4 linked regions of the Tamandua tetradactyla genome follow. The protein of the gene in region 1 interacts with the protein of each later gene in a pairwise test. Links are inferred from orthologs where the notes say so. Each region holds a gene or a part of one and is shown in the gene's direction. Other genes may lie near its edges. The genes, in order: NFE2L2, WAC, MAFK and MAFF.

Region 1 (7,001 bases):
TATATTTGTATAGGTATAATGCACATATAATTCAAAAGCATTCTGTCAAACTTCCGGTTTTACCCCCTTACTTGCTGCATTGCTATTCCTGAAGGGCAGTATCTATTAATAGGAAACTATATGAGTTAAAATCGGCTTTATAGATATACACCTCTTTGCACAAGTAGTTTGTATAATGAGGTATACATATCAAGGAACCAAGGTTATGGGTGTGTTTGCAAATTAATACACCAATGATTTTGAATACTGCTCTACTGGAGTTCAGTTTATTCACTGGGCAGGGACTTCTCAGGTTCAAATTCCCTAATCAGATATTTAGTTGAGTATCTTACATAACTCATATAAATGAAATCATGTCAGGGCCAGAGTCTCTGTATGCATTTATGCCTCCATCTACATAAGTGTCGGAGTATCTGTGTTTCTTAACTGTTTTTTTTTTTTTTGTATGCTATATGGCGGGGTCACATTTAATTATTTTCCCATGTGAGTATCCGTTATTGCAGCACCATTTGCTAGATTTTTGTTTGTTTGTTTTTTGGGAAGTGCATGGACCTGGAATCTGTCTAACCTGGGTCTCCCACAAGGCAGGCGACAATTCTACCACTGAACTACCCTTGCACCCCCTTAACTGTATTTTTTTTCCCTTAATTGTATTTTGATAAGAAAAATATTTTATCATCTATTTAATGGTATGGAAATTGGTGCATGATGTGATCAGGTGATTTAGTTTGTATGGAGAAACAAGTATATATTACTGGAAAAATAACTTCTTTATTCCCAAAGAGGTCAATTAGCTTCGGAGGGATGAGACCCTATTAAATTGCAACTACCATCCCTATATGTGTTCCCAGCGATGGTTAACAAACAAAAAGCAGCCAATAGAACCCTGCCTTTGATATTCAATACATGCTGATTGGCTTATCTATTGCTATGAAACAAACCACCCTAAAATTCAGTGGCTAAAAACAAGTTAATTATATTCTTTCACAATTCTTTGGGTTGACTGGTCTGTCTAGGCAGTTTTCTACGGTCTTGCTTGGAGTCTTTCATGCAATGGTAGATAAATAGCAAGTGAGGGTGGAGTCCTCTGGGGGCTTGACTTCATTGACAAATTTGGTGCCTTGGTTAATATAGACAGATTCTCTCCACTTGAAGTCCCATTTTCCCTATGGTTTCTCTCGCCATTAAGGAAGTCAGACTTCTTACATGATGCCTGACTTCCAAGAGTGTAAATTGAAAGCTACCAAGCCTTCCTAAGTCTTAAACCTGGACCTGGCAAAGTGTCACTTCTGGCCTCCCTTCATCAGCTAAAGCAAGTCAGAGGGCCAGCCTTGATTTGATGTGGGAGAGAACATACAACAATATCAAAATCAGGAGGGGTGGTTCATTGGAGGCCATCTTTGGAAACTAGCGACCCCATATACTTCAACTGTAAGGTGGACAAAGTAGAATTTCAACTATAATTCCAGGAGTTTCTGAATATTTTCTGGCTCAAAGAGGAAGTAAAATTGAGAGGAAGCAAGAAGAAGGAAGAGGCCTCAAGGTGATGGAGGATTTTTAAACAGTAGGTATGTTCTAGGGCCTTGCAACTTGGCAGACTACAGTATGGAGAAGAAGGTGAACAAATGGTCAATGCATGACCTTTATCCTAAATTTGTGAACTCAGAAGGCTTACTTGATAATGCTCATCTTTATGAGAACTCTAGCATAAGACATTACAAGTCTGACACATTACAAGACTATATAGGGGGCTTTCTTTCCAAAGACAGGAAAGAATTCAGACATCAGTGGAAATCTAGGGTCAGTAGATTGTAAAGCCAATTGGGAGAAAAAGCAAAATAGTAGGCTAGAAGAGGATGGTAGTAAAAAGGGCCCCCATGGCATCAGGAAGATGAGAAAAAACAGCACCTCCTCTTTCCTGCTTTCCTGGAACCTCCCGATAAGCAGTATGTGCACCTCCATAGCAGAATTTGCAAGTGTAGAGGGCAAAGCTAGAGCCAAGGCTCTCTCATGGAGACAATTCTTATCTTAGTGTTTCTAAAACTGGAAACCTCTTTGACATGAGTCTTCTGAGACTGGGATTCCCTTTTCTTGTGCTGAACCACCATTCAGTGCCAAATGGCTTTTCCTAATGTCTTTATTTCTTAAACACGTTCAGACTCTCACCATGTTGTTCTCCTCCCTTTGAAAATATGTACTTTGCAGGTGCCTGAAATAATATACCCATAGTAAATTGCAGTTTTGTGTAAGTGAAGATTATTTCATTCAGTCTAAACTCAATGGAACTCTTGTTGCTTAACAAAGAAATACCAAATACTTTATAAACTCCTTGAGGGCAGCAACCATATCATATATGATTTGTGTATCTCCTATCTCCTAGACTCTTTGTCCACCTTCTTATGTAGTAGTTTTAAAAAGTAACTCAAATTGTTAACAATATATTCTTGTCTTTTTTCTTTGATGCAGAAATGTCATTTCATTATGATGTCTCTGCATAGTTCATGTCAGGTTCTTTGTAAATAATTTCTCCCAAGCTTGTTTTCAGTGCGCAGATCCTTTTGCAGGCTTTTCACATAACAGCTGAATGGGTTTATGGCTGAAGAAGCTTGCTTCAATTACAAGTAATTAATTTAGGCTTCACCTTTCTCAAGGATTATTTGAAGATATAATTTACAGGTAAGTCCGGGGCGTGTCAAATTATGCAACCAAGATAAAATAAATTCTACAGTTTATTGGAAAGAGAGGAGGCAGATTCTTGAATGACATAGTAAAACCACTGCCAACACTATCTACTTCACTTCCTTTCTAATAATCCCAAGAAGCTAGAAACTGAAAACCAGTTTAAAAATTAGAAACATCAGGGAAAAAACGCCATTTCTCTTTTGTTTTATATAAGATTTCACAATATTCCTATTTTCAAATACTTAATGTTATGTAATGATTAATTTTTAAATAACTTTTTTAATGTAGAAAGTAATACATATTCATTGTAGGTTTAAAGCATAAGGTAATAAAAGAGAAAGATAAAATCCGTTCACGATCCCACATTTATTATTTTGGTGAACATCCTTAATTTTTTTCCTAGGCATGTTTTTTAAAAACGGGCCCATACTCTACTAACCGTTTTGTAACTTCGTCTTTTTTTTTTTTAACTATATCGTGAATAAATTGAAAATAAAGTCAAGAATTTTAGCATGTTGTAGCGTTACACCATTCCGTGGCGTGGTTTGTGCACCTTGGTAGGAAAAGAAAGCTCGTGGGGTTCCCATTTTTGCCCAGCTCTCGGCGGGTAATATTGACCACTCTGTGACCAAAGGGGACTTCTTCCTTTGACCTTGGCAATCTGACCCTATCGAGAGTGCAAACGTATGGGAGTAAGTAGAGGGCGTTCAGGGTGACTGCAAGCCCGAACTCCCGGTGCGGTCCACACCTCCCCTGGGCAGGACCTGCTTGCCTCCGCCCCGGCGGAAACAGAGGGCGAGAGGGCAGTTCGCGGTGCGCACCACCTGGGTTTTAGCTCTCCTCCCCTCCCCCCGCCCCCCGGGCTGGCGCCACTCTCAGGCGGCGGGGTGTGATAAAGCAGGGCAAGGTTCTGTAACTTCAAATCAGGGAGGCGCAGATCCGATACCAGCGCCCTTGCCCGGTCTTCGGGCGTGTTTGTTACAACTGTTTGAAAGCGCCCAACCCCAGCGACCTTCGGCAAACAACTCTTAATCTCCCGGGTGGAGACCACTGGTCTTATTTGAGAGGAAGACAAACTGAGCGCGGGGACAGAGGAGCTAAAGGAAGCTTGCGCTCACCACCCCGCCAGCCCGCGACCGCCCACAGGGACCCGGGCCCGCGGCCCTTCCGGCGCCGGGACCCTGAGCTCTTGCGTCAGCCGGGCGGGGGTGGGGAATTTTCGCAGGCTTCGCTTGCACCGCAAGCCGGGGAAGGAAGGGCCCAGGCTCTTGCCCCGCCTTCGGGAGGGCGGGAGGCGGAGCGGGGCAAGAGCAACGCCGGCGACTCAGGCGGTGTAGCCGAGCGGCGAGCGCCGGGCAGCCCGGAGGAGTCGCCGCCGTCGCCACTGCCTCCGTGTCCGCGCCTCGGCAGTCGGGTTCAGGGCAGTCGTCGGGGAGCCCCAGCCCACGGTCCCCAGCTCAGCATGATGGACTTGGAGCTGCCGCCGCCGGGACTACCGTCCCAGCAGGTGCTGTCCCTGCCCTCGGGGCTCCGCGGAGGTGCAGGGACCGGGCAGGGGCGGGCGGGGTTCGCGGCCCTAGAGGGACAGCCGCCAGCGTTTCTCCTCCCGTCTGTGGCCGGAGCAGGGACTGCAGCGGCCAAGAACTGGAGCCTGGAGGAGGGTAGCGGGGGCCTAAGGGGGCGCGAGGGAGTGGAGATGAGGTCGGGTGTCCTGACAGACGACGAGTCCTCAGCACCCGAGGGAGCCTGGAGCGGAGGGGTCTGGGGGGGGGGGCGTAACTTGCCGCGTGTCCGCTCCCTAGCGCTGGGACGCGGGAGCCTCCGCCGGTCCCCCGAGTTTGAGCGGCCCAGAGGCTGCAGAACAGGAGGGGGTGGACACCCGCGGTCTGAGCCGGCGCAGCCCGGCCCTTCCGCTGCTGCGCGTCTCCCCCGCCTCGGAGCCGGCAAAAATGTGCCTAGTCACGGGGCCACTCTCGGGGGAGCTGAAGTCTTTGCTAGGCCGGACTCAGAGGCCCTCCTCGGCCACCGCCTCAGGTCTCAAGACCTTCGCGGGTGCGAGCTGTCGTGCAGCGCGCCCACCCCGTTGGGCCGTCTATGGGTACTTCTTTGCAAAGTAATCAGTCACTCCGTCAACTCAGTCTTTGGCCGCCTTGAGCTAGAAAGCTCAGCCTTCAGGGGAGGGAGGAGGTCATGAAGTGTCCATCGCTCTCTAACGCCCCGACGTGCCGCAAGACCCAGCCCCACGCGCATCCTCCGACCGCGGCAAAGGTTTGGGATCCGGAATTCAGGACCCACCCGGTCGGCCCCTCGCTGCCCCGCGGAAAGTGCGGGCGAGGGGCGGACTGTGAAGTCCGAGTTCGCGGCGCCCAAGACTTTTGGTTCCGGGCGCTGTGCCTCCCGGTGGCGCACGCCGCGTGCGTGGCTGCGGCCTGCGTGACAGGGGCCGGTTGGCTGTCACGGAGGCCCTTGGTTGGCCCTTTCCTGCTTTATAGCGTGCAAACCTCGCCGCGGCCAAGGGACAAGTTGGAGCTGTTGATCTGTTGCGCAATTGTTATTTTCCCCAGGGCGGCTTTGTCTTTGGATTTAGGATTTCTGAATTGCAATTCCAAAATGTGTAAGGGAGGATTATCTGTTCTGTGCTGTAAAGGGTAAGAGTTGAGAGTGTAGATTAGAATTTTTGTTGCTTTTAGGGTCATTTTGTTGGCGTTCAGCTATTATTCTCCCCTTGGGTGCCTTATATATGTTTTCTTTTCTGTTTGAGAATTTGCCTCATTTCTTAGCATGTTGATTCTTTTGCAAGGAGGGTGGGAAACTTCTGTTTTCATAATGGTTTGCTAACAAGTTCTGTAAATTGTTATAAAAGTGAAAACAAATTTCCTTTCATACTTTGTAGGAACTTTTTAAAGTAGTAGATATTTGTATATTAGAATTTAAGAAAAAATTTTGGTTGATGGCAATTTGTAACTTGATAGATAGTGATAAATTTGTTAATGCTCTTGAATATAAAGTTTTAGTTTAATCCTGAAACTCTGATGTAAGCTTTTGAGCTATTGACGATGTATTCATTGTGCTGTTGTTTTCTTTAAAGTCTTGGACTTTCCCTCATTAGTGACTGGGATGGTATTCTTCTAGTTCCCGATAGTATGAAGAAGTAAATTGTACTTTCCTATTTAGCTTCTGTTCAAGAGTAATCTGTAGGAATGCTTTTTTGACCAATGCACGTATGAGCCAATGGACTTCAGTTTTCCTGTATTCAGGAATTGTAGTCTAGAGCACTCTATTTCCCACACGTGGGGAAGCAACGTGTAGGAGGATAAATGCACAACTCACTCAAGTCTTTCTGCATTAAAATAACTTGGGCCATTTGAAGTATTTATTTCTTTCTTGCTAACTTGGGATCTTATAAAAAATGCTGGGAAAAAAGTTTCTTTTTCCAGGCAGATTTGAAAGCCCAATGTTTTATTATTTTTTTAATATTTGTTTTTATTCAAGATGACTACTCAGAAGATGATGTGAGAAAAGGAACCCTCTTTTTTTTTCTGGGAATTTCCTCTCTCTGGCTTAACACATTTAAAGGGGGCTTTTGTGTAAATAATATTTCCTCTTTAAATTTTCCTTGAACCTGGGTTAACATTTTTCAGCATAAACTCTTGGGTGCAGAAAGAATTTGGCACTAAGATGATAATAACTGATATGAGTTATTGGGCACTTCCAATGAGCTAGACTGTGTGCTAATTGCTTCGCATGCATAATTTCACAGTCACCCCATACGAAATACTATTATCTTCTTTTTGCAGGTGAGAAAGGAGGCAGAGAGAGGCTAAAAGTTCTGCTTTAGGTGACCCAGCCGTTGAGTCGTGGAGGTAGGACTGAATCTGAGGCAGTCTGACTCCAGTGGCTCTTAAACACTTTAGGACTAGATCAAAACTAGTAAAACTTTAAACAGGAGGAAGTCTCGGGCTTTATAAAGTGGTAAGTTGAGAAAAACTGGGGAAAGAGGGTCAGGAATTTGAAAGATGAATGTAGACACCTTTTCAGGTTACCAAGAAATTTGATAACTGTTTGGGAGGAAGGAGGTAGACCTTGTGATATAAAATAAGAGTAAATACCAGCCTGTCAATGTAATTACCGCACGTGATCCTTTTAAGAAAGACAGAGGCCTAGGTGGTTTTAATTTAGAGAGGCAGAACCATTTGCTAACATAATAATTTTAAAACTTCCTGGGATTTTAACAGTGTCCTTGTTTCTGTCTCCCAATTCCCAGAGATAACTTTCCTTTTGTTAAGTTAAATCTCGTAGTTACGGAAGTTTTTGTTTAC
Region 2 (7,022 bases), on another chromosome or scaffold:
CCTTTCCTAAATAGTTATTTGTTGCAGTTGTCCTATTTTTCCTCCTTAATTGAATGAACTCGTATTTGGCTTATGATAGGAGGGAAGCATATCTCGATCACACATCTAGAATATAAGCTATATTCCTCTCGGCAGGGATAATAATGTGAATTATGTAGTAACAGATCCTGTAGGCATCATTTTTTGTATCATTAATTGGCAATAGAGGTAAATTCTGTATCTCCCAAACAGTATATAATTTTAAGTCTCCTCAGATAATAGACACTAGGCACAGCCAAGATTGGAAGCTACAACCTAAACCCTTTGCCTTTCTCTGGCGACACATGAAGCTTTCATTCTAGTGGAAGGGAGAAAACCAGTATGCAAAATATGTAACAAATTAGACAGTAAATGCTGCTAGAAAAATACAGCAGGGTTTGGGAGATGGTGATGGAATGCCATTTACATAGTTACCAGGAAAGACCTCTGATAAGGTGAGATTAGAAGAGAGACACGGAGTGAGCCAAGCAGGTACAAAAGGGAGGAGTATAACAGGCAAAGAGGCAGTACTGTAGAAATCCTGAGGCAGAGGCATGTTTGGTATGGAGTAACAAGAAGGACAGAGTTGACAGAGGCAGAATAAGCAAGTTACTGGAGGTAATGCCAGTGGAAGCAATATACACAGGGCCTTGCAGGTAATTGCAAAAAACTCTGGCCTTTATTCTGAGTGAGATGAGAAACAATTGGTGGGTTTTAAGGCAGAAATGATACGTGACTTAACGAGCCCACTCTGACTGCCCTGGGAGAAAACAGAAGCAAGGGAAGAAGGACGAGCTCATTTAAGAGACCACTGCTATAGGTTCAGGTAAAAAACGATGGTGGCTTGTGAAAAGAGATCAGATTCTGGATATATTCTGGAGGTGATGCTGTCAGGCTTTGCTAATGGAGTCTATGTGAAGTACGAAAGAATCAAGGATGACAAAATATTTTAGCCTCAACTGGAAGAATGGATCTGACAGGTCTTGAGATTGGAAAAACTTGAGCAGAACTTGTTTTGGGGAAGAATTAAAGAGTGTGGTTCTGCAGATATGAAGTGGAGATGCCCACTGGGCAATCAACTAGAATAGACAGGTAGGTATTTAAAAGATCTGGGCTAGAGACTCAAACATGGGTCCCATCCAGTTACAGATGATGGGACTGCCTAGGGAGAGAGTACAGGGAAGAGAGGCAGATCATATTGTGGAAGTTTAACCCTAGGGGAGGGTTAGACAAGGACTCTAAGGAACAGCCAGTAGGAAAGAAAAGAAATTAGAATAGTAGTACCCTGGCAGCTAAGTATGGAGTTTCAGGAAGGAGGGAGTTAATCTATCAGCTCTGTCAATCACTGCTAAGTGAGATGAAGGCTGAAAAATGAAAATTGGATTTGAGAACATGGAAGGTATTGATTATCTTGAGTAAATGGCATGTAAGAATGAAGTCTGACTGTTGTGGATACAGAACAATGTAATATTGGAAGTAGAAATGAAGTTTCTTTGTAAAGGAGAGCAGAGAAATGGCACAGTATCTGGAAAAAGATACAGGCTGAGCTTTTGTTTGAGGATGGTAAGTACGACAGCATGTTTTAAGTTGATAGAAGTGATCCATTTGAGAAAAAAATTGATAAAGAATGAAATGGAAGTCGATACAAAGCGGAAGTTTGGTTTTAGATAGAAACTTAGTTTATCTATCATTTTTGAGGGTGACAGTGCAGTACTACATATGGATTCAAATGGAGTAAGGCTGATAGATACGATGGTTAAAGCAGGTGGAAGTTTTTATTGCTTTGATTCCTTCTGTTCTCAGAAAAATGCAAAATAATTAGTTAGCTACCAGTGACACCATTGAGGAATGACACTGGCAGTCTTAGATGTGAAACAGTTAGAAAGAAGAATAAAGTGAATGGATTAGGGAAATGTAGCCTGAAGGCTGAGGAGCATGAAGAGATTTACTTCAGAGTCAGTTTAGCTGTGTGTTTTTGTCCAGTTCAACTGCTCTCCTAGATATGTAGTAATTAACTAGGACTGTGGTATAGACACGTAAGGTAGAGGAAGAGGGGTGAAAGGAGTAGGGAATATCTGCAAGGAAGGATTCATAAGAAAAGATAATGGACTCTAAGTTGAGCAATGGGATGAGCTTTTAAAAAAATGGGCGTAACAGTGAGGAACACGTTTTCCCCATAGCTCAGACCAGTGCTCTTGTTCATATAGCATTATCAGCAAAAGACATTTGACTATCATAAAATAAATCACGTTTGTATTCTAATCTGATGTCCCCTGCCCTCGATGTATTTGTTTCAAAAGTGTACAAAAGACTTTACTATTGAACTGATTTTGTTTTTTTTTTAATCGAGGACTGGTAGCTATTTCAGTCACGGGCAGCTTTTGTCTTAATTACTCAGTTTATGTGAGCATTAAGTAGACTTTCTCCAGTTCTTAAACAGCAACAACTTCAACATTTGGTAGATGGATTTAATAAGGCTATATAATTATTTTTTTCAATCAGTTGAGAGTTCAGGGTCATTTTCTCCATCATCCATCTCATTAGGCCCAACGATAATTTAAGCTGTTAGCAACCAATTCAGTTAGTTTTTGATATGTTTTTTTTTGAGGAATGTCTCTTGTTTCCCAGTTTGCTTTGTTTTCCTATATACTATAAATAATGGTTGTATTTTTACTTTATGTTTATTACAATCCTTCATGTTAAATCAATGCTGCATGATCGCCTAACAAGAAGTTAACAGGAAAAAAAAATCACCTAAATGGCACCGCCCTCAAGTACATTTTGTTGTTTTGGCGTATCTGTTCGACACTCCCCGCTCCCCACTTACCAATGTTGCTATTATGCCTATAATGACACACAAAAATCTGTTACATTTTTAATTAGCACGGAATTTACAAATGCATTTTAATTCGCCAAAGAACTTATCGAGGAAGAGACATTAGAAAAGAGTAAAATGGGAAACAAAGAAAGGAGAGAGTGAGGGGAGGGCACAGCCAATTTCCCAGGCCCGAGATGGAAAATATCTTTTAAAATGACGTGGCTCAACGCTTTTTCCAAACAGCCCTTCCCCGAATCTCAGTTTAATCCAATTTCTTAATTAACTGCCCAAAGTGGTTCTCCCTCCTCGATCCAGGAATCCCCACCGTACAGCCGCGCAGACACACAGCCTTCTCACAATCTGTTCAATACCCATAAACTCTTTCACTTTTGCCAGTTCTCACTTAGAAAGCTTTCTTTCCTTTATGCTTCTGGGTGTGTGACTTACTTCTCAAATGCCGACGAGCGTGGTAGTAAAAGCCCCAGGCCCGGCGCGGGTCTTGCGCTCCGCGTCCGGCGTGAGCCAGGCGCCCAGGCCTCGTTTCTATAGAGGCCTCGCTTCCCTAAGAGCCGCTTCCCAGGGCTGCAAACAAAGAAAGCTGCTGGTAACCGCCCTCCACTCGCCTCACCGAGGGGTCTTCGACCACCCCACACCCCGAACCCGGAGGGAAGAGGCTGGCGGCCCGAGGGCTCGCCCAAGGTCACCCGCCATTCCCCGCGCCCGCCGCGGGGCGCAGGCGCGCCGCAACGGCCTCCCTCAGTCTGCGTTGGCTTCCGCCGCGCCCCGCCGCCCTCCTCTCTAAGGCGGCTCGCTGACTGCACATCCCGGAGCCCCTACAAACGGCCTCTAGCAAGTCCCTCAGCAAGATCAGCCCCGAGCAGGGACGCTGGCACCGACGTCCGCGCGAACGAAAGGAACAGCAAACGGAAGGAGCCCGTCGGGTCCGAGCAGGCGAGCCAGGCCCGGCAGGAAGAGGAAGACCGAAGTGAGCCGAGGTTTGCCGAAGGCGGTATTCGGAGCCGCGCGAGGAGGGGCGGGAGGAGAGGGCGGGAGAGGAGGAGCGAGGCGGAAACTGCCGATGCTTGCCGAAGGTGGCCTCGTCCGAGTTGCCCGGATGTAGTTGGTGGAGCGGCAGCGGCGGCACCAGCGGCGGTGGCGGCGGGAGGAGGAGGAGGAGGAGGAGGAGGAGGAGGCGGAGAGGGACCAGGCGGCGGCGGCGGCGGCGGGGGGAGGAGGAGAGGAGGCGGCGGAGCAGGAGGAGGGGAAGGCGGAGCAGGCACTCGCTCTCCGCGGGGCTGAGCCGGACGCGTCTGGGTGCCCCCCTCCCCCCGTTTCGCCGCTGCCGCCGTGTAGTTGGCGCCGCCGGCCGGGCCGAGAGTGAGCGTGGTGGCGGAGGGAGATGGCCCGGGAGCGCCGGCTCCAGTAACGGGGAGGTGCTGAGACTCGCCGAGGGCGCGCCGGGCCCTGGTGCCGGCGCCCCGCCGCCCGCCCGCCTCTCGCGGCTGCTGTCCCCCCTCCCCGCCACACACTCACAGGCCGGGCATTGATGGTAATGTATGCGAGGAAACAGCAGAGACTCAGTGATGGGTAAATTGTCTTTTCGTTTCGGGCCGGGCGGCGGGGGGCGGCGGCGGCGCGGGGGGGCTGTTCCTCCTTATCGGGAGCTGGCCGAGCCGCCATTTTTGTTGTTAACCCTGTTCCGGCTCGGGCTGGAGGAGGCGCGGCGGCGGGAGCGGGGGCCGGGCGCGTGTGCGGGAGCTGCCTGGAGGGCTGCGGCCAGCTCGCGTCGCCTCCTCGGGGCGGGCGGGAGCGTGCGAGTGTGCGGGGCTGCCCGCTGGGCCCGCCTGGTAGGTCGCCCGCGGGGAGGGGCGGCCGGGGCCCGCGTTTTCCCGTCCTCCCCCCTCAATGTCTCATGTCGCCGCCTCTCTTCCTGTTTTTCAGCTGTCACGACCGGAGGGGGGACTCGCAGCCTTTCCAGGTACCAGCCGAGGCCGGGGTGGAGGGGTTGGAGGGGGAGGGGGAGGGACTGCTACTCGAGCGCAGGCTTCAGAAGTCGCTACAGGCCTTTCAGTGCTGCAAATCCGAAACTAGCACCGCGGGGCCCTCATAAAATGTTGTGTTTGGTTCCGGGAGCGCTCTCCAACGAGGCCTAGTGACTTATTTTGACAGGTGACTGGAGAAAGTTCACTTTTATTAGAAAACATTAGCAGCCAGGAAGACCCGACTTGATGCTTCGGGTGTGAAGGAATCGATGCTGTAAGCTGTGAGGCATGTTCATCTGTTGTATTGGGGAACTAGAAGTTGATGAGAAGGAATAGAATTCGATCAAGGGCCTGGGACGAGAGAGCCAGTTGATACTCAACTCAGAATTCTGCTGTGAACTATTTCTCCGCATTTGACTTCTTTTGAGTGCACGTAATTGTCTTACATGTGAAAGATAGTTTTTGTTACTGTAAAAATTAAGATCCTTGGATGCTTGTATAATTCACTCTAATATGTGGTTCATGGTATGTAAATTCTTTTTTGTTACTGCAGTTGTTACTGGTAAAGTTTTAAAAATTTATGTTAGGTGTGCCTGAGGTTTCCGGAGTGGGGGGGACATCTGGTAAATGGTTGACAACTATCAGATGACACTAGAAGTTGTGTAAGTGGTTTCTAAGTCTAATCACTTGGAGAAACAGTTCTGTTACTGGATATCAAGACTTGTTAAAGCTCAAGTTAAAAACACTTGTATTTACAAAATGGAGTGAATTTTTTTCTTTTTTTTTATTTGATATTATGGTTTATATCAGGAGCCTTTTATATGAAGATACGCAGTTGTAGAGCAGAAGTTAATTACAGTATTACTGAGTTTCTAGTTTTCTTTGGATTAAGTTTGCAAAAAAGGATTTCAAACATTAACTCCCAGAAAAATTTATTAAGGAATGTATGTGCCAAGGTGTTTGGTTTCTTGTATTTACAAAATGGAGTGAATTTTTTTCTTTTTCTTTTTTTCATTTGATATTATGGTTTATATCAGGAGCCTTATAATAACTTGTCAGCATTTGGGACTTGCCTCACTAACTTAAGGGCAGAATTCAAAATGGGAATTTTAATTTTGTTACATAAACTCATAAAGCTCAGTACACCAAGTTTTAGAGTTTAATCAATTTAGAGAGTTTGAAGTTTCAATTCTTTCTCTTTCTTTTTGGGGGGGTGATGTTTTACAGGCACTTAAGTATTCATCGAAGAGTCACCCCAGTAGTGGTGATCACAGACATGAAAAGATGCGAGACGCCGCAGATCCTTCACCACCAAATAAAATGTTGCGGAGATCTGATAGTCCTGAAAACAAATACAGTGACAGCACAGGTCACAGTAAGGCCAAAAACGTGCATACTCACAGAGTTAGAGAGAGGGATGGTGGTGAGTAGTTTTCCTGTTGAAACTTTCACATATATTTATTATTTAACGTAGTGCTATGCAAAATAATTGGCACCATTAGTATTTCAAGCTTGAGGATGTTACCATGTAATTTTGTCATCAAGGGATTTTATGTCTGTCATGTTATTTGATTCATAAACAGTCCCTGTGTAAAAATAGGATGCTGACCTGAATGTGTAAAATTTAGAACACTGATAAGAATATATTTATGAATATAATCTACCAAATGTTTTATTAAATGATGGGAGAAATACAGAACATTTTTCCCGGAAAGAAACTTTTACTTTTTAAAGGGTTAAAATCTGTTTGATAATTATACATGATAAATTATGAATTCGGAAATTCAGTAAGTTTTCAAGACAGTTCAAAGGTTTACTGAGATTTCTGAGAGTTTGAAAATCCCATTTAAATTTTTGTTGTGAACGTTTAAAATGCTTTCCATGTTCTCCAGGAACTTGTTAACTTTTATTTTCTGTTCATTCATATACTCAGCTTTTTAAAAAGTGAGCTTCCTTTTCGCTTTCTGCTGCCTTTCAGTTATCTCAAGCACTTTGCAGTGGGAGGCTGAGAATGAGTAAATGAAAGCAATTCTTGGTAACTATTTTCAGGCTTAATTTGCCCAAAGTTTACCAAAATACCAGGTTTCATGTCTAAAGCATGCCTTGAGGAAAAATCCAGGTTTTACAAAAGTAATTAAGAAATCTTTCTTTTCCCCACTCATACTGTTTAACAGATGAAATGGTGGAGATAAATAAATAGCATA
Region 3 (7,001 bases), on another chromosome or scaffold:
ACCACCGACCTCAGACGAGGAGTCTGAAGCAAGAGGGTTTCTCCACCTGGCCGCAGCCGTGGAGTCTGTGGCCAGAGGCCCTGCATCCCCTGGGAGCTCAGGAAGCAAGGCACAGGTGTGGAGGCCATGCCTATTTTCCCAGGCTCCCCTCGCCTGAGCGTCCCCTGCCCTGCAGGGCAGTGCTGAGCTGTCCACCCGGCCTCAGCAGTGCCCAGGCACCTCACTAGGAGTGTGTGGGATGGGTGAGATGGTCCCTGCCCTCCAGGCGCCCACAGGCTGGCTGGCCACCCTGCTGCGGGTAGCTGCATATCAGTCGGGGTGGGGGGTGGCACTACCTATGCGTGCAGGGCAGGGGTCTCTGTGTTGGGTGGGGGAGGGCTTCTGGGAAGAAACCAGGGGTAGGTTGGGTGGTGGGGCAGGAGAAGGGCATTCTGGGCAGGCTAGGAGCGGGAACAGCAGTTCAGAAGCGGGAGAGGGCCCAGTGTAAGTCCATGGCAGTGAGCCTGACATGGGGAGTGGAGTGCTGGGGGGCTCCAAGCCAGGGACTCCTGTGGCACTGTGGTCCAGGTGGGAGAGGCAGGGCCTGTAGGGTAGATGAGGGGGGGAGTGCGGTGGTGGCAATGGGGGCAGTGGGCTGCAGGGCTCCTGGTGTCCTGAGCTTGGGGCCATGGGGCAGGGGCTGGCGGGGGGCAGAGGACGAGGTCTGTGGGCTGGTTGCATCTGCAGAACCTGGCAGTCATGGGGCAGAGGTGGGCAGGTTTCCTGCAGGATTTGTGGGGGCTGGATGTGGAGAGCAGGAGAAGGTTGAAACCATGGAACTGGGGTCTCCCAGGAGCCAGGACAGCAGGAGAAGGGGCTGGGCCAGAGAGGTGCAGTGTCCAGCCTGCCGTCAGCTAGGGCCGCTGCCTGAATCACCCCTGAGAGCGGACAGAGTGATGCGGCCTCCCTGGGATGGCCCGGCAAGGTGACCAGACGTCCTCCAGGCGAGCAGACAGGCTGCCTTGCAGGAGGGCAGCTGGCCAGGCCAGCTCTCAGGCATGGGTCGATGGCGGGCATCCAGGGTGGCGTGGGTGCTGGGCAGGGTGGTCCAGGCTCACCTGTGGGGCGGGACGGGCTGTAGTTTGTCCCTGTGTCTTGGTTCACTGGTTGTCCACTGGGCACCCTGCGTGTGTCCCCTGCTCTGGCCAGGACAGGTGTATAGCTGGGTGGCTTGTGGGAGGCGTCCAATCCCTGGAGCGCCAGGCAGGCGCCCACGGAAGTTTCCGGTTGTGTGTAGCTGCACCTGTTGGAGGGAATCGGGCTGTACAGATGCTGCTGCCTGGGGTTTGAGCCTGAGCCTGTTGGTCAGCAAACCCTCCCTCCTGCCCCTCCTGTCCCTGGCCTGGCATCATCTGCGGCCCATGGAGGACAGGAAAGGAGTGGCGAGCCCCCTGTTTTTATGAGGTGGGCTGGAAGGGCTGGATGGGGAGACGGCGAGCAGAAGCAGCCCGTTTGTCGCCACCCACATGTGATTTGGCAGCGGCGGCAGTCTGGCCTCTGGCCTCTGGCCTCTGGCCTCAGGGTCTAGGTCTCCGTTTCATCTGGTGAGGATGAGAGCCTCGGCAGCTGGGCAGATGCCCCCTTTTCCTAGATAGTGGGTGGGGTCCCTGCTAGGGTCAGCCACCTGCTCGTGTCTTAAAGAAACAACTAATCTCAGCGGTGAGAAGCAGGGCATGGTGGCAAGTCCAGAACCGGACCCCTCCCCGGACAAGCCGGTCAGAGCACTGGGAGCCAGCTGGGGGCTGGAGGTGGGAAACAACCCCGGAGGGTCCCAGGGGGCTTCCTGGAAGGGGCATGGCGTGGAGCAGGCAGCCCTGGGCCCTGGTGTGAGTCTGGGGTCTGTTCGGGGGGCCCCAGGTCCTGGCATGAGTTGAGGATCTGCTTGGGGGGCTCAGGGCCCCAGTGTGAGTTTGGGGTCTGTTCAGGCCCTGCGCCCTGATCCACTTGAAGCTGTGCCGCCCTGCGTCCCCTTTTCTCTAGAGGAAACGGCTTTTCCTGTCGAGCCTGGAGTGGACACTCCCCGGGATGCAGCGTCTGGCTCTGGGTTCAGAACGCAGCCTCTTCCCCTACATCGGTCAGTCACCTGAAGGGCAGGACAGCGTCCGAGTGCTGACGCGCCGGCTTTCTCAGTGGCAGCTTCCTCTGCACTGCCCCTCTGGCGATTCTTCTGAGACTCGGGAGTCCGGGGGGGCCTGGGGCCTGTGGGGTCATCGTCCAGTCTGCTTGTCACCTGGGTGCTGAGTACAGGTGACGGTGGAGCCTGGTCCTGGGTCCCCCCACCCTGGCACTGTCCCTGGCCGCAGCTCCAGCGCCACGTGGCCTGAGGATCTTGAGAATGTTCCCTCCTCGTGTGCCCTCTGACCGTGCAGTCCTCTGGGACTTTTTTGTCTGCAGAGGTCCATTTCAGGGCATCCGTCGTTGCTGTTTTTAAATCGGTTGTTTTAGAGACACAGAACCCTTCTCTGCACCTCTTCCAGGCAGGCTGTCGTTTTCTTGCATGCCTGTTTCAGCCGACTCCGGGCTGGCACCTCCCTGGGGGCCTCGGCACAAGGCAGGGCCCGGCCCGGGTCTGCACCTCCTGTGCAGTGCAGGGCTCTCCGAGCCCCCACCCCGCGGTCCGTCTGCTAACCCGAGGCCCGGTGCGTCCGAGCTCTTCTGCTGACTGCCAGAGCGGCCCAGAGCAACACCGGGATCTCCAGGAAGTGGGGTCACGTTTCCCGAGCAGAGTTGTGGGCTGGACGTCCCTGGCCACATGGAGCCTGTGGTTCTCTGGGCCCCTGAGCCCGGGGCAGGAACCCGAGGTTCGTGCAGGGTGCCCTGGAGAGGATCCTGGGGCCTTTATGTCCATCCACCATTTCCAGAAGAGGAGACTTGGGCCCTTTATGAGGCGCCGCTGAGCGCGGACCCCCCACCACCTGGCCCAGCCTCGGCTCCTGCCTCACCCCACGGCACTGGGCGTAGCACACCCTCCATCTGCCCCCCTACCCTTCCTGTCCCCCACCCCTGCCCTTCCTGTCTCCCTGTTGTCTGCTCCTTTCACAGCCCAGGGCGCTGCTCAGTCCCCAGGGCCCAGCGGGCACTCACGGGGGCTCCCCTCCCTGGCCCGCAGGGACCGGGCACACAGCTCCTCCCTTCCGGCACCTCCTGGAGGATCCCAGGTGGCACGTGGACGAGGTGGGGACTGTGGGGTGCAGCCGAGGCGAAGACCTGGCAGGGGTGTTCCAACTGATGCACCGACCTCCTTGGGCAGAGACTTGGCCGGCCGGTGTGGGGGGCAGGGTGTATGGTGCCGCAGGAAGTCACATCCTGTGTGCGTCTGCATGACCTCATAGGTCACTGTGTCTCTGGCAGGAAGCTCCCACAGTGGGATGTGGCACGGGCCTCCCTGCTCTGTCCCTGACGTAGCGTGCTCCTGGGGGCTGGGTGGCAGGTTGGCCCTCGGCGTGCGCCCCCAGCCCCAGGGCCGGCCCTCCAGGGAGAGCAGAGAAGCCCTCCTGCGCTGGACCCCCGCTCCGAGGCGCTGTGCCAGGCCAGGCAGTGGCCCCCGGGCCAGGCAGGCGGCTCTGCGGGAACACGGCCCGCTCCGTAAACAGCCGCTGACTCACTGCGCAGCTATGCCGGGCACGCAGGCTGGGATCTGGGGATGGCCGCCCCCTCAACGTGGGAAAGCCCCCCTGGCGCCGGCGTGCAGGCGCCTCACCGCGGGAGCGGGCCGGCTGCCTGCGGTCGCCCGACGGGCATCCCCAGGGGGCGCCGCCAGCGGCTCTTGCGCCATCTCCTCCCCATGCGCTGAGCCCCCCACACGTGCGGGTTCTGGGAGCAAAGGGGGTGGGGCTCCCGGCAGGAGGCCCCGCTGGCTCACTCCGCAATGGGGGCCCCCGCCGGGCCCTGCTCCTGCCCCCCCCCGCAGCTCCTGGTGTGCACTCTCGTGCAGCCCCGCCTCGGACTGGTGGTGGGGGGGGCGGGCGGGGACAGCGGCATCCCTGAACCTCAGCCCTCAGCCTCTTCCTAGGGCGGGTCTGGCCCCCACCGGCCTCTGCACAGACGTGACCTGGAGCTGTCGCTGCTTCTGGGCTTCTCGGTTTCCATGACGACCACGGGGGGCTGGCCGCTCTCCCAGGGTCACCATAGCAACTATCAGAGGGGACTCATGCCTGGGCTGCCTGGGTGGGCTCTGAGCGGTGAGGATGTGTGACACGGAGCAGACAGCTGGCGGGGATGGTCCCGCCAGACAGCCGGTCAGCCTGCGCCCGGCCAATGCCACCGCCCTGCTCGGGAGGCTGCGGCGGTCAGTGGGAGCCCGGCTGCCCTCGCTCCTCAGGCCAGGCCGCGGGGCTGCCGAGGAGGCGCTGATGTCACAGCTGCAGAGCTCTCTGTTGCCGCCATAGGGGACCTGCCCGGAGGGCCACGCCGGGCTGGGGGCAGGTACTCTACCCCCCTCCCTGGGCCGAGGCTTGAGGCTGCCGCCGTCTCCCCAGGGGGCCTCTCGGGCAGCAGGTGACCAGGGACTCTCCCCAGGAAGGGGTGCTGTGGGGGCCGGGCAGGGCCTCAGGTGGGTGTGGCTGTCCCTGGAGGCGGCCGCTGGCCATTCTGCCTCTGGACCGGCGCCCTGTGCCCCCCAAGGTGGTGGCGCTGCCGTGGCCAGGAGGTGGCATTGGAGCAGGAGGCAGCAGTGGCCGCAGCGGGGGCTGGACGCGATGGTGCCGAGGGGTTTCCTCCTGGACCCTGGAGGAGCCAGCGCCTCGGCCTTGGGAGTCCTTGGGGGGCCTGGCCGGGCCCATCCTTATGTGCCTCTGTCTGTGTGTTTCAGCTGTGCTTTCCGAGCCCTCCTGTCCCGGTGACTGTGCCCAGGTTATGACGACTAATCCCAAAGCCAACAAGGCATTGAAGGTGAGGTGGGTGGCCACCAGGGACCCTGCTCACCCGGCGGGGCTCAGCCCTGGCACCTGCCAGCAGGATGCCAGCAAGCACAGCCCCCAGACACGGGCTTGGGGTGTTCTGGGCCGGGGGGTGTGGGAAGAGGCCAGTGGAGCCAGGGGGACTAGTGACACCCCAGCCCTGATACGTGGAGGGTGCCCGGGCAGTCAACTGCCCTGTGGCCGGCTCTGGACATGCTCCTGTGGTCAGAGGTGGGACCGGTGGGTGCCTTGAGCCCCAGAGGCTGTGCAGACCCCTCTCCTGGCCTGCATGGTGGTGGGGGAGACGACCAAGTGGCCGCAGGGCCTTCCTGATTCCCCTGAGGCCCTCCCTTCCCCGGGCCCCCTGGCTGTCCACTGGCCAGGGGCTGGGCGGGACAGACCCACAGGCCTCGGGCCACTTGCCCCAGAGGGGACGGCGCAGACTGGCCACACACAGGGCTCACGCGCGCACCAGCACGGGGCCAGCACCCCCAGTGGGGAAGCCCGGGCCCTGTGCTGGGGGAGGGGGTCACGCCGTCCTGCTGCCCACCCCCACCCCACGCTGCCCCGCCCGCAGGTCAAGAAGGAGGCGGGCGAGAACGCCCCGGCGCTCAGCGACGATGAGCTGGTGTCCATGTCGGTGCGCGAGCTCAACCAGCACCTGCGCGGCCTGTCCAAGGAGGAGGTGGCGCGCCTGAAGCAGCGCCGGCGCACGCTCAAGAACCGCGGCTACGCGGCCAGCTGCCGCATCAAGCGGGTGACGCAGAGGGAGGAGCTGGAGCGGCAGCGCGTGGAGCTGCAGCAGGAGGTGGAGAAGCTGGCCCGCGAGAACAGCAGCATGCGGCTGGAGCTGGACGCGCTGCGCGCTAAGTACGAGGCCCTGCAGACCTTCGCCAGGACCGTGGCCCGCAGCCCGGGCGCACCCTCCAAGGTCGCCGCCACCAGCGTCATCACCATCGTCAAGTCCGCCGAGCTCTCCGCGCCCTCGGTGCCCTTCTCGGCCGCGTCCTAGTGCGGGCGCGGGGTGGCGGGGGGCCCCGGGAGCAGCCCCCACGGGCTGGGCGTGGCGGGGGGCACAGAATGGAAGAGCCAGCTCTGGCGAATTCGGCCGCGGCGCCCCGTCCCTCGTGCACACGCACACGCACACACGCACGCCTCGCTTTCCTCAGCTCTCTGTCCACTTCCCCAGGGGCGGGGTCCTGCCCCCGTGGTGCTCAGGAGCGATGGGGGGTCTGAGGTCCCTGTGTGAGGACACGGTCGCATCCCCGCCCCCTGCAGAGCCTGCCGGGGTCCCAGGGCAGGATCCGGCCTCCCCGCTCCTATGGAACCCATTGACACCCCCGGCCCCTCTGTACCCCCTGCCATGACTCTGCCCCTTTGCTGCCTCTTGAGCTCAGGGCCCAAGCCTCGGGGGGCTGTGAGCAGAGAGACCCACAGCTTTGCCCTGGGGTGTTCCTGCTGGACACTAACCTGCGCAGCCACTGGTTCAGCCGGGGTCTCCCGGCACCCACACAGCCGGTGTGGGTTCCTCGGGGCACAGGGAGGAGTGTGCCCGTGTGTGTGGACGGGAGTGTGCATGTGTAGACACGTGCATGCAAGAGTATTGTGTGCATGAGCGTGTGCACATGAGTGTAGCGGTGCATAAGTGTGTGTACAAGTGTGAGCGCAGGAACGTAACGAATGCGTGTGTGTGGGACTGCATGCATATGGGAGTGCAAACATGCAAGGGTACATATGCATGAGTGTGTGCACGTGAGTGCAGGGGCGCATGTGTGTGAATGTGTGTGCACACTCGGGCGTGCTCTATGGACGTGAGTTTCCCCATGGCAGCACTGCCAGTGCGCAGTGGGCCTGGGGCACAGCCTGTCGCACCAGGTCTCTTGGGAGCATTGTGGGGTGTGTGTGTCCAGGAAGGTGTGCAGGTGTGCCTGGCCCTCAGACCCCAGCCATGGAGGGGCCGGAGCCTCCTCTCCCATTGACCCAAAGGCAGGGTGTACCTGGGACCCACTGCCCTCAGTGGGGCCTGGAGGGGAGGGTGGCTGCAGTGGGGGCCAGGCAAGGCCT
Region 4 (7,575 bases), on another chromosome or scaffold:
TATCTCCATGGAGACGTGACTCACCCAATTGTGGGTTCTAACTTTTTCTCTTCTTTTTTTCAAATTTTTATTTTACTTTTTAGGGTATTAACTTTTGAATAGAGGGAGATGTGACTCCACCCATTTCACATGGGTCTTGATTAGTTTACTGGAATCCTTAAAAAGAAGGAGGGAGAGAGTCCCTTCTTAGAACAACGGGAGAGCCACGAGGCAGAGTCACCAGCCAGCGACCGCTGGAGCTGAAGAAGGAGAATGCCCCTGGGGGCAGCTTCATGAAGCAAGAGGCCCGGAGAGGAAGCTAGAAGAAGTCACCGTGTTCACCATCTGCCTTTCCAGTTCAGAGCGAAACCCTGAACTTCAGTGGTCTTCTTGAGTGAAGGTAACCACTTGTTGGTGCCTTAATTTGGGCATTTTTATAGATTTGCTTTAATTGGGACAATTTCTCAGTTTTAGTACTGTAAACTAGCAACTTATTAAATTTCCCTTTCTCAAAAGCCATTCTGTTTCTGGTGTATTGCTTGCAGCAGCTAGCAAACCAGAACACACCCCAAATAGGATGCGGTGTCGGAAGGTGCTGACAGGGGTCCCTTTGACATCACTCCTGCCCAGATCCAGAAGGATCCATGGGAAATGTAAGACCCGACCAGGCCCAGCCCGATGAGGGAGGACCCAAGAGTCCCTGGGACAGGAGCCCATGGGGGCCTGGAAATCGAATGTTAGTGCAGGAAGGGTCTTAGAGAACATCCAACCGGGAAATCTTCCGGCCAGGCCTGGCTGTCTCCCTTCTGTGTCAGTGCAGCTTCTGGCTGCTTTACAGAGTGGGACACACTGCAAAGCCGACCTTCATTTAAAGAAAGGTTACTGTAGCTTGAGAGTGAAAACCACTGACCTAATCCCAAGCTCTCACTCTGCAGGTGGGGAGACTGAGGCTGAGCAAGAGGGATGCCCCACCCTGGCGTTAGCCAGGCTGTGAGTTCGTACCAGCACAGCCTGCCTCTCAGCTCCAGCCCTGCAGCAGGACTGAGCACCTCCCCTGGGCCAGACCCCCACTGTGAGCCAGGGGTCCGCAGGCACGTAGCGGGTGCTCTCTGGGGTTTTAGACCTCCAGGCAGGGGAATAGGGGACGAGCCGGCCCAGTTAGACCTCTGCTGCTCCCACAAACTGGCAGCAGGACCTGTCCCTACGGGCGCGAGGTGGGGGTCTCTCAGCAGGGTGGGGCTGGGCCATCACTGACTTTGTGGCACTTACATGGGGAAGAAGGAGGTTTCCCAAAGGGAGTGTTCTAGGGGACTCCAGAGGACTCACCTCTAACTCAATATTTATTGATCTTTGATTGTGTACCAGACACTTGCACAACTCATGCAGCAGGTGCTATTTATAACCCCAGTTTAGAGGAGGAGACTGAGGCAGGGCTAGGATTTGAACACACAGGCTGACTTGACAGCCCCTACATTAACAAAAATTTTTAATTATGATATGCTTTCAGATTTAAGGAAAAATTGCAAGAATAGTAAAGAATTATTGTATGCTTTTCAATCAAATTCCTCAAATGTTATTATATCACATTTGCTCTATAATCCACCCATCTACATCTCTACAAATCTTTTTTTCTGAACCATTTGAGAGTCAATTACAGACATGATGTCCCTTTACCTCTAAAAACTTCAGTGTGTGTTTCTTAAAATCAAGGACATTCTCTTACTTAACCACAGGGCAATTATCAAAATCAGGAAATTGAGCTTGAAAGAATACCATTCTCTAATTCGCAGACTTGATTCAGATTTCACTAGTTGTTCTAAAACTGTCCTTTATAGCAAAAGAAAATCCTCCTGGAGGTTATTCTTATGCATTATATAGATATCCCTTTTTAGTTTATGGTGTATCGGAGTGGCTGGAGGGAAGTACCTGAAACTGTTGGGCTGTGTTCCAGTAGCCCTGATTCTTGAAGACAGTTGCATAATGATATAGCTTTTGTGATATGACTGTGTGATTGTGAGAACCTTGTGTCTAATGCTCCTTTTATCTAGGGTATGGACAGATACGTAAAAAATATGTATAAAAAATAAACAAATAATAAGGGGGCAAAGGTTAAAATGAATTGGGTAGATGGAAATACTAGTGGTAATGAGAGGCAGGGGTAAGGGGTATGGTATGTATGAGTTTTGTTTTTCTTTTTATTTCTCTTTCTGGAGTGATACAAATGTTCTAAAAAATGATCATGGTGATGAATACACAATTATGCGGTGATATTGTGAGCCATTGATTATACGTCATGTATAGAAATGTGTGTTAAGATTTATCAATAGGAATATTTTTTTAAAAAAAAGGAAGAAAATTCTCAATCATACACAGCATCCAGTTGCCACGTCTCTTTAGACTCCTTCAATCTGGTACAGTTCCTCCGTGTGTCTTTCTGTTTCATGACCTTGGTTTCTTTAACAGTACAGTACAGTTATTTCATAGAAACCATTTGCATTTGTCCGATGCATCGTCATGATCAGATTCTCTGTGTGCATTGTTGGCAGAGAGATCCACGACATGATATGATGCTTTTCAATGCATCATTTCAGGGGGCAAATGTGTCCATTTGACTCCTACCTGACAGGAACTTTGGTCACTCGATGAACTGGCATCTGGCAGGTTTCTCCCCTGCAGAGTTACTATTTTCCCCCTTTTTAATTAATTGTCTTATGGAGAAATACTCTGAAACTATGTAAATCTCTTGTTTCTCATCAAGTTTTCAAATGCAAATTTTAGTATCCATTGATGATTTTTCTGGAATCCATTATTACTAACATCCGTTTTCTAATTCCATCATTCTTTCTGCTCTAAGGAGGCACTTTCCCTGCTTGCTTGCTTATCAGTATGGACCATGGGTTATAATTTATTATTTCCACTATTTATTTTGATGCTCAGATTGTCCCAAATTTGGCTGGTGGGAGCCCCTACGAGCTGGAGAGACATTGCAACCCTTGACCAGAAAACAAACCACGTCCATGGGAAGCAGTGTCTGGATGGTGAATTCTGAGGTGCTGACCCCCGACAGTTAGGCTGAGGACGGGAGCAAAGCATCTCGGCGTCACGCTGTCTGGGGGGCTTCAGGCTCCCTGGGGTCTCACTCACTAGCTGAGCACTTACCACATGCCAGGCATGGCTTCCACTCTCGAGGAGCTCAGAGACGATGGGGAAGAGAAGACAGGCGATCACAATTGTGCACTTTCTAAAACTGAGAATTTTCCTATCCCTGTCCTTAGAGATGCAGATGTACAAAGGGGGCAACTGTTTGGGAAGATTGTTTTGAGTGCTTAAACAAAGCTTTCTCAACATTCGGCCATTAGGGAAGCAAGTGAACCATTTTCCCCAAGGCCTTTGAACTACGTTCTTGCCAGGCCCCACCCAGCTGGGGCATAGCTCCAAATGTCTGGATCAGGAATCAGTCAGACCTGGATTCAAATTCCAGGTCTTGTACTTCCCAACTGGGTGACTTTGGAAAACAATCACTTTAACTCTCACAGCCTCCCCACTAATTTATTCCTTCAATATACATTTAATGAGGACCTACTATGTGCCAAGCACTGTTCTAGGCACTGGACATGCAGGAGTGAATAAGACAGACAAGATCCATGCCCTCATGAAATATGCTGGCGTGGGAAGACAGATAATAAATGGTAAGCAAATACATAAACAAGTAATATCCTATGGAGATTATAAGGTTATATAAAACAAATTTTGGAGGTGGGGCTTCTTTAGCCAGGGCAGTGAAGAAAAACCTCTTGGAGGAGTTGACATCTAAGCTTATGACAAAGAGCCCAGCAAATGAACAGAAGAGGAAACAGCAAGTGCACAGGGCCTGTGACAGGAAGGAGCTGAGCATGTTTGGGGGACAGAGAGAAGGGCAGTGTGACTTAAGTTCAGTGGGTGAGGCTGGACAACCGCATGGTCAGAGCCCTGTGGGTCCAGGGGAGAAGAGTTTATGTACTTGGTGCAAAGGGAAGCCAGGAAGGGTGTTAAGCCAGGGGTGGAGAGTTGACATACTTGGTGCAAAGGGAAGCCACAAAGGGTGTTAAGCCAGAGAGTGTGAAACACAAGATTCTTAGGTTTTTTGGCTTGAACAACTAGTGGGAGAGATTGGGGGTGGAGGTGGGAGCTGGGCCGTGTTGGGGTGTAGCCCCTGCCTGACAGCCACGTGGAGGCGCAGAGTGGACAATCCGATACGATTCTGAAGCTCAGAGTAACTGCTTGCTCTGGAAATATAAATCTGGGTCATGGGCCCATAGACGGCATTTAAAACCACGGGACTGGATGAGATCACCAAGGCGGAGAGTGTAGGTCGAAAGGAGAAGAGGCCCCAGCCCGTCGGCTGTAAAATGAGGCAAATGACAGCTCCACCCACGCGGCCGCGGGGTGTCACGTGACCGTAGGCAGCGCGCGCTGGAAAAGAGGCTGGGACTCCCAGGAGGCGGGGGCGCAGGGGGCGGGGCGGCCGCTCCGGGACCGCGAGGGGTGGGGAGTGGGGGGAGTAGGGGGGGGGGGGGTTGGCCCGGACGGTGACGTCACCGCATGACTGGGTTTTTATGAATGAAAGGAATCCTGTGCGTGAGTAATTCCGGGAAGCTCGCCTTACAACTTTGCGCGGCCCCGGCCCCCCGCGCCGCCCACCCGACAACAAAACTCGGCGCCACGCTCCCGGGCTCCGGGCTCCAAGCAACCCGCGGTCGAGACCGGAGGGGAGAAGGGCCAGGGCGCGGGCCGGACAGCAGCGGGACAGCAGCAGGATCCGCGCTGCCGGGGACGCCAGGCGCAGCGGGCGGCGAGTCCGGTGAGCGACGCGGGCCCGAGGCGGGCACCGGCGCGCGGGAGCCCGAGCCGGAAGGGTCTCCGCGCCCCAGGACCGCGACTGGGGCGGGGCGCCCGGGGCTCGCTCGTCAGCGGCCCCTGAGTCCGCCTCCCCGACGGCCGGCAGGTGGGGGCAGGGCAGAGGTCCGGGGTGGCGGTGGGGGCGCTTTCCTCGGCGCGGGGCCGGGATGCCGCGAAGCCCGGGAGGAAGGGGCCGCGCAGCTGGGCGAGCGTCAGTGTCCGCCCGGGCGGGGGCGGGGGCAGCGCGCGTACGTACGTGACTCCCGGGGAACAGCCGCTGGACCCGGGCCCGCGGGAGTGCGTGCGCGGTTTGTTTACGTCCAGGGCGGCGTGCGTGTGTGTTCTCTGGCGAGCGTCCTGGGTCCCTGCCTGGTTTGTGCGCGCGTGCGGGTGTACCTTGGTGCGTGTGTGTGTGTGTGCGCGCGCGCGCGCGCGCGTGCCATCGCTGTGTACCTCGGAGGGTGTGCCCCGCGGATGTACGTCGGTGTTTGTGTGTGTGTGTGTGTGTGTGTGTGTACCTCAGAGGGTGTGTCCTGGAGTGTCCAAATGAGTAAACACGGAATAGAGACTGGGCGAAGGAAGCGGCCCGATCTTTGGTGACACAGGTCGGGACTCTAGCTCTAGCTGCCCCCTTCTCAAAAGCCATTGGGTCCTGGCCCCTGCTTTCCCTGGACTTTCCCTGCCCGGCTACTGTGTGACTGTGGTGTTTGTTACATGTGAGCTGGTGATTGCAGCCACAGGGTGGGGCGAGGTATCAGAGACCCCACCCGGCTCTGCTGGGGTAGTGAAAGGAGGCCATCTCCCATCCTAGCCACTGGTAGATCTGGCAACAATGTGGACTAGAGCTGGGTCCTGGTCCCCAGGTTTTCTAGCTCCCTTGGTCTATCCATCTGTCAGTCTCAGGTGAAACAGGGAGGCCCAGAAAACACATGCAATACTGGGGATTAGGTAGTGGGGAGTCCCAGGCTTTCCCTCTGTGGAAGTTTCTGGCACACTCTTGGGTGGCACATCTGAGTGGGAACACTGTACCTGCTGGGGCTGGAGGAGTGAGATCAGAGGATGGCTCCAAGCTAGTTCCCACCTTCCCAAAGGTTTCAAGTCACAAGTAGTTCTAGTGGAACCGAGCAGACCGAATGACAGCTAGGTCCTAAGAGCTAGTTGCTAGTTAGTGGACTCAAAGCAGCCCACCCACCCTGGACCCAGGAAGGGGCAACAAAAAGTGGGATGAGCAGTCTGGGTGCATGAAGGGTTAATGGGTGAGGCTTGGGTTCCAGGATCTAGCCACCCCCATCCCCATCAGCTCAGCAGAAAACACCTGTCATGCCATTAGCCTGAGGCCAGGGGGCTAGAGATTTGTTGTGTGTTTGTGTGTGTGTGTGTGTGTGTGTGTGTGTGTGTGTGTACCAGCGCTGTGCACCTTAGAGGGTGTGTCCTGGAGTGTCCAAATGTTCTCCTCCACCCCAGGGCCACCAAATCATGGAGGGCAGGAGTTCCGAGCTCTCTGCAGTCAAGTACTGGGTCATTTTTCCTCTTTGAATCTTCAAATCCTGGCAAGCTCTGCTCCCACACCTGGAAGCCTCCACATCCCCATCTGTAGCAGGAACTAGGTACAGCCAGGCTGGGAGAATGGGGGAGAATGGGGAATTTCAGGCAACCTCTACACAGCCTATTTCCTAGGGGGACTGAGAGAGCAGAGCCCACAGCCCCATGCTGGGAGTTGAGAGGTGTCCAGGGGTATGTGAAGTCCATGTAAGAGGGGTTGTGGCCAGGAGCAGAAGAACCAGGCAGGCCCAAGCTCAAAGTCAGACGGGAGGAGTGGGGATCAGCAAAGAGGGGAAGTGGCCAATTGACTCAGTCACAGATGGAAAATCAGCACTGAAAGTTTTAACCTCCCATTAAATCATTCCTGGGCCTCCCCTAGGACCCTGGAGCCTTGTGGGCTCCTTCAGCCCCTGTGCTCCCTTAGTCTGGACATTTAGTGGAGCATCACCAGGGAGCCTCTGTCGTGGGTCAGATGCTGGGGTAATAAGATATGAGTAAGAGACCCAGAAACCACCCCCTGGGAGCTAACTGCCAAGTAAAGGAGACAAAATTAAACAAAGAGCCACCTAACTAACTGCTAAACCACAGAGGAAGTCACTGTGTTTTGAAAGTATATGTTAGGACTCTGCCTTAGCCAGAGCAATCAAGAAAGGCTTCCCCAGGGAGGTGACCAGGGAGCTGAGAGATCCAACCGAGAGATAAGTCTGCAAAGACCTTAAGGGCGGGGGCTATGTCTTGTCCTTGGGCCTCCAGGGCTGTCACACTATAAGTGTTTAGTGGATATCTGTTCATGGAATTGCTCCATGACACTTAGAGAAAAAGGCCTGGGATCCCTGGGAAAGCACGAAGCGCAAGGGTGGCCTATAGGATTCTTGTAGCTGCATCTCCCTCCCCAAAAACTAGCAGACTCTTCAGAGCTCAGGTGACACCCTCCCTCGCTCACACACTGGCACACGCACATACTCCCAATTTGTCCCTTTGGAAAACATGCATTCTAAATATCTTAGCATTTACTGTCTGCCCATTCATTTGTAATTAGCACAAGGACCCTGAGAGAGAGAAAGAACGTACATGCAGGAGGCCTGAGGGGAGGCCAGTACAGCAGGGTTTTGAAATGGGCCAAACACAGTAGGATTTGTAGGTTTCTGCCTACAAATCTCTCTGACAATCCCTCTG

Evidence for each region.
Region 2: the proteins of NFE2L2 (region 1) and WAC interact in a two-hybrid assay, tested with the Homo sapiens proteins (2 studies listed by BioGRID and IntAct). The two-hybrid records come from large-scale screens. The link is inferred for Tamandua tetradactyla from reciprocal best matches to the Homo sapiens genes NFE2L2 and WAC.
Region 3: the proteins of NFE2L2 (region 1) and MAFK interact in binary tests that used the Homo sapiens proteins (3 or more experiments, as listed by UniProt). The link is inferred for Tamandua tetradactyla from reciprocal best matches to the Homo sapiens genes NFE2L2 and MAFK.
Region 4: the proteins of NFE2L2 (region 1) and MAFF interact in binary tests that used the Homo sapiens proteins (3 or more experiments, as listed by UniProt). The link is inferred for Tamandua tetradactyla from reciprocal best matches to the Homo sapiens genes NFE2L2 and MAFF.

The regions. Positions count from the first base shown.
Region 1 is NC_135329.1:149,520,349-149,527,349, reverse strand, and holds the start of NFE2L2 (nuclear factor erythroid 2-related factor 2), read left to right. Parts: upstream 1-3,980; 5' UTR 3,981-4,144; coding exon 4,145-4,189; intron 4,190-4,605; exon of another isoform or gene 4,606-4,795; intron 4,796-5,146; exon of another isoform or gene 5,147-5,330; intron 5,331-5,353; exon of another isoform or gene 5,354-6,545; intron 6,546-7,001.
Region 2 is NC_135327.1:222,265,994-222,273,015, reverse strand, and holds the start of WAC (WW domain-containing adapter protein with coiled-coil), read left to right. Parts: upstream 1-4,338; 5' UTR 4,339-4,369; coding exon of another isoform or gene 4,370-4,380; 5' UTR 4,381-4,382; coding exon 4,383-4,423; intron 4,424-4,777; coding exon 4,778-4,815; intron 4,816-6,028; coding exon 6,029-6,241; intron 6,242-7,022. Other genes in the region: uncharacterized protein LOC143682789, read right to left, coding at 3,537-4,338, 4,370-4,380.
Region 3 is NC_135349.1:1,081,734-1,088,734, forward strand, and holds the start of MAFK (transcription factor MafK), read left to right. Parts: upstream 1-4,000; 5' UTR 4,001-4,126; coding exon 4,127-4,220; intron 4,221-4,849; coding exon 4,850-4,929; intron 4,930-5,514; coding exon 5,515-5,949; 3' UTR 5,950-7,001. UniProt on the Homo sapiens protein: Since they lack a putative transactivation domain, the small Mafs behave as transcriptional repressors when they dimerize among themselves.
Region 4 is NC_135333.1:30,623,365-30,630,939, forward strand, and holds the start of MAFF (transcription factor MafF), read left to right. Parts: upstream 1-4,553; 5' UTR 4,554-4,819; intron 4,820-4,898; exon of another isoform or gene 4,899-4,963; intron 4,964-5,088; exon of another isoform or gene 5,089-6,464; intron 6,465-7,575. UniProt on the Homo sapiens protein: Since they lack a putative transactivation domain, the small Mafs behave as transcriptional repressors when they dimerize among themselves.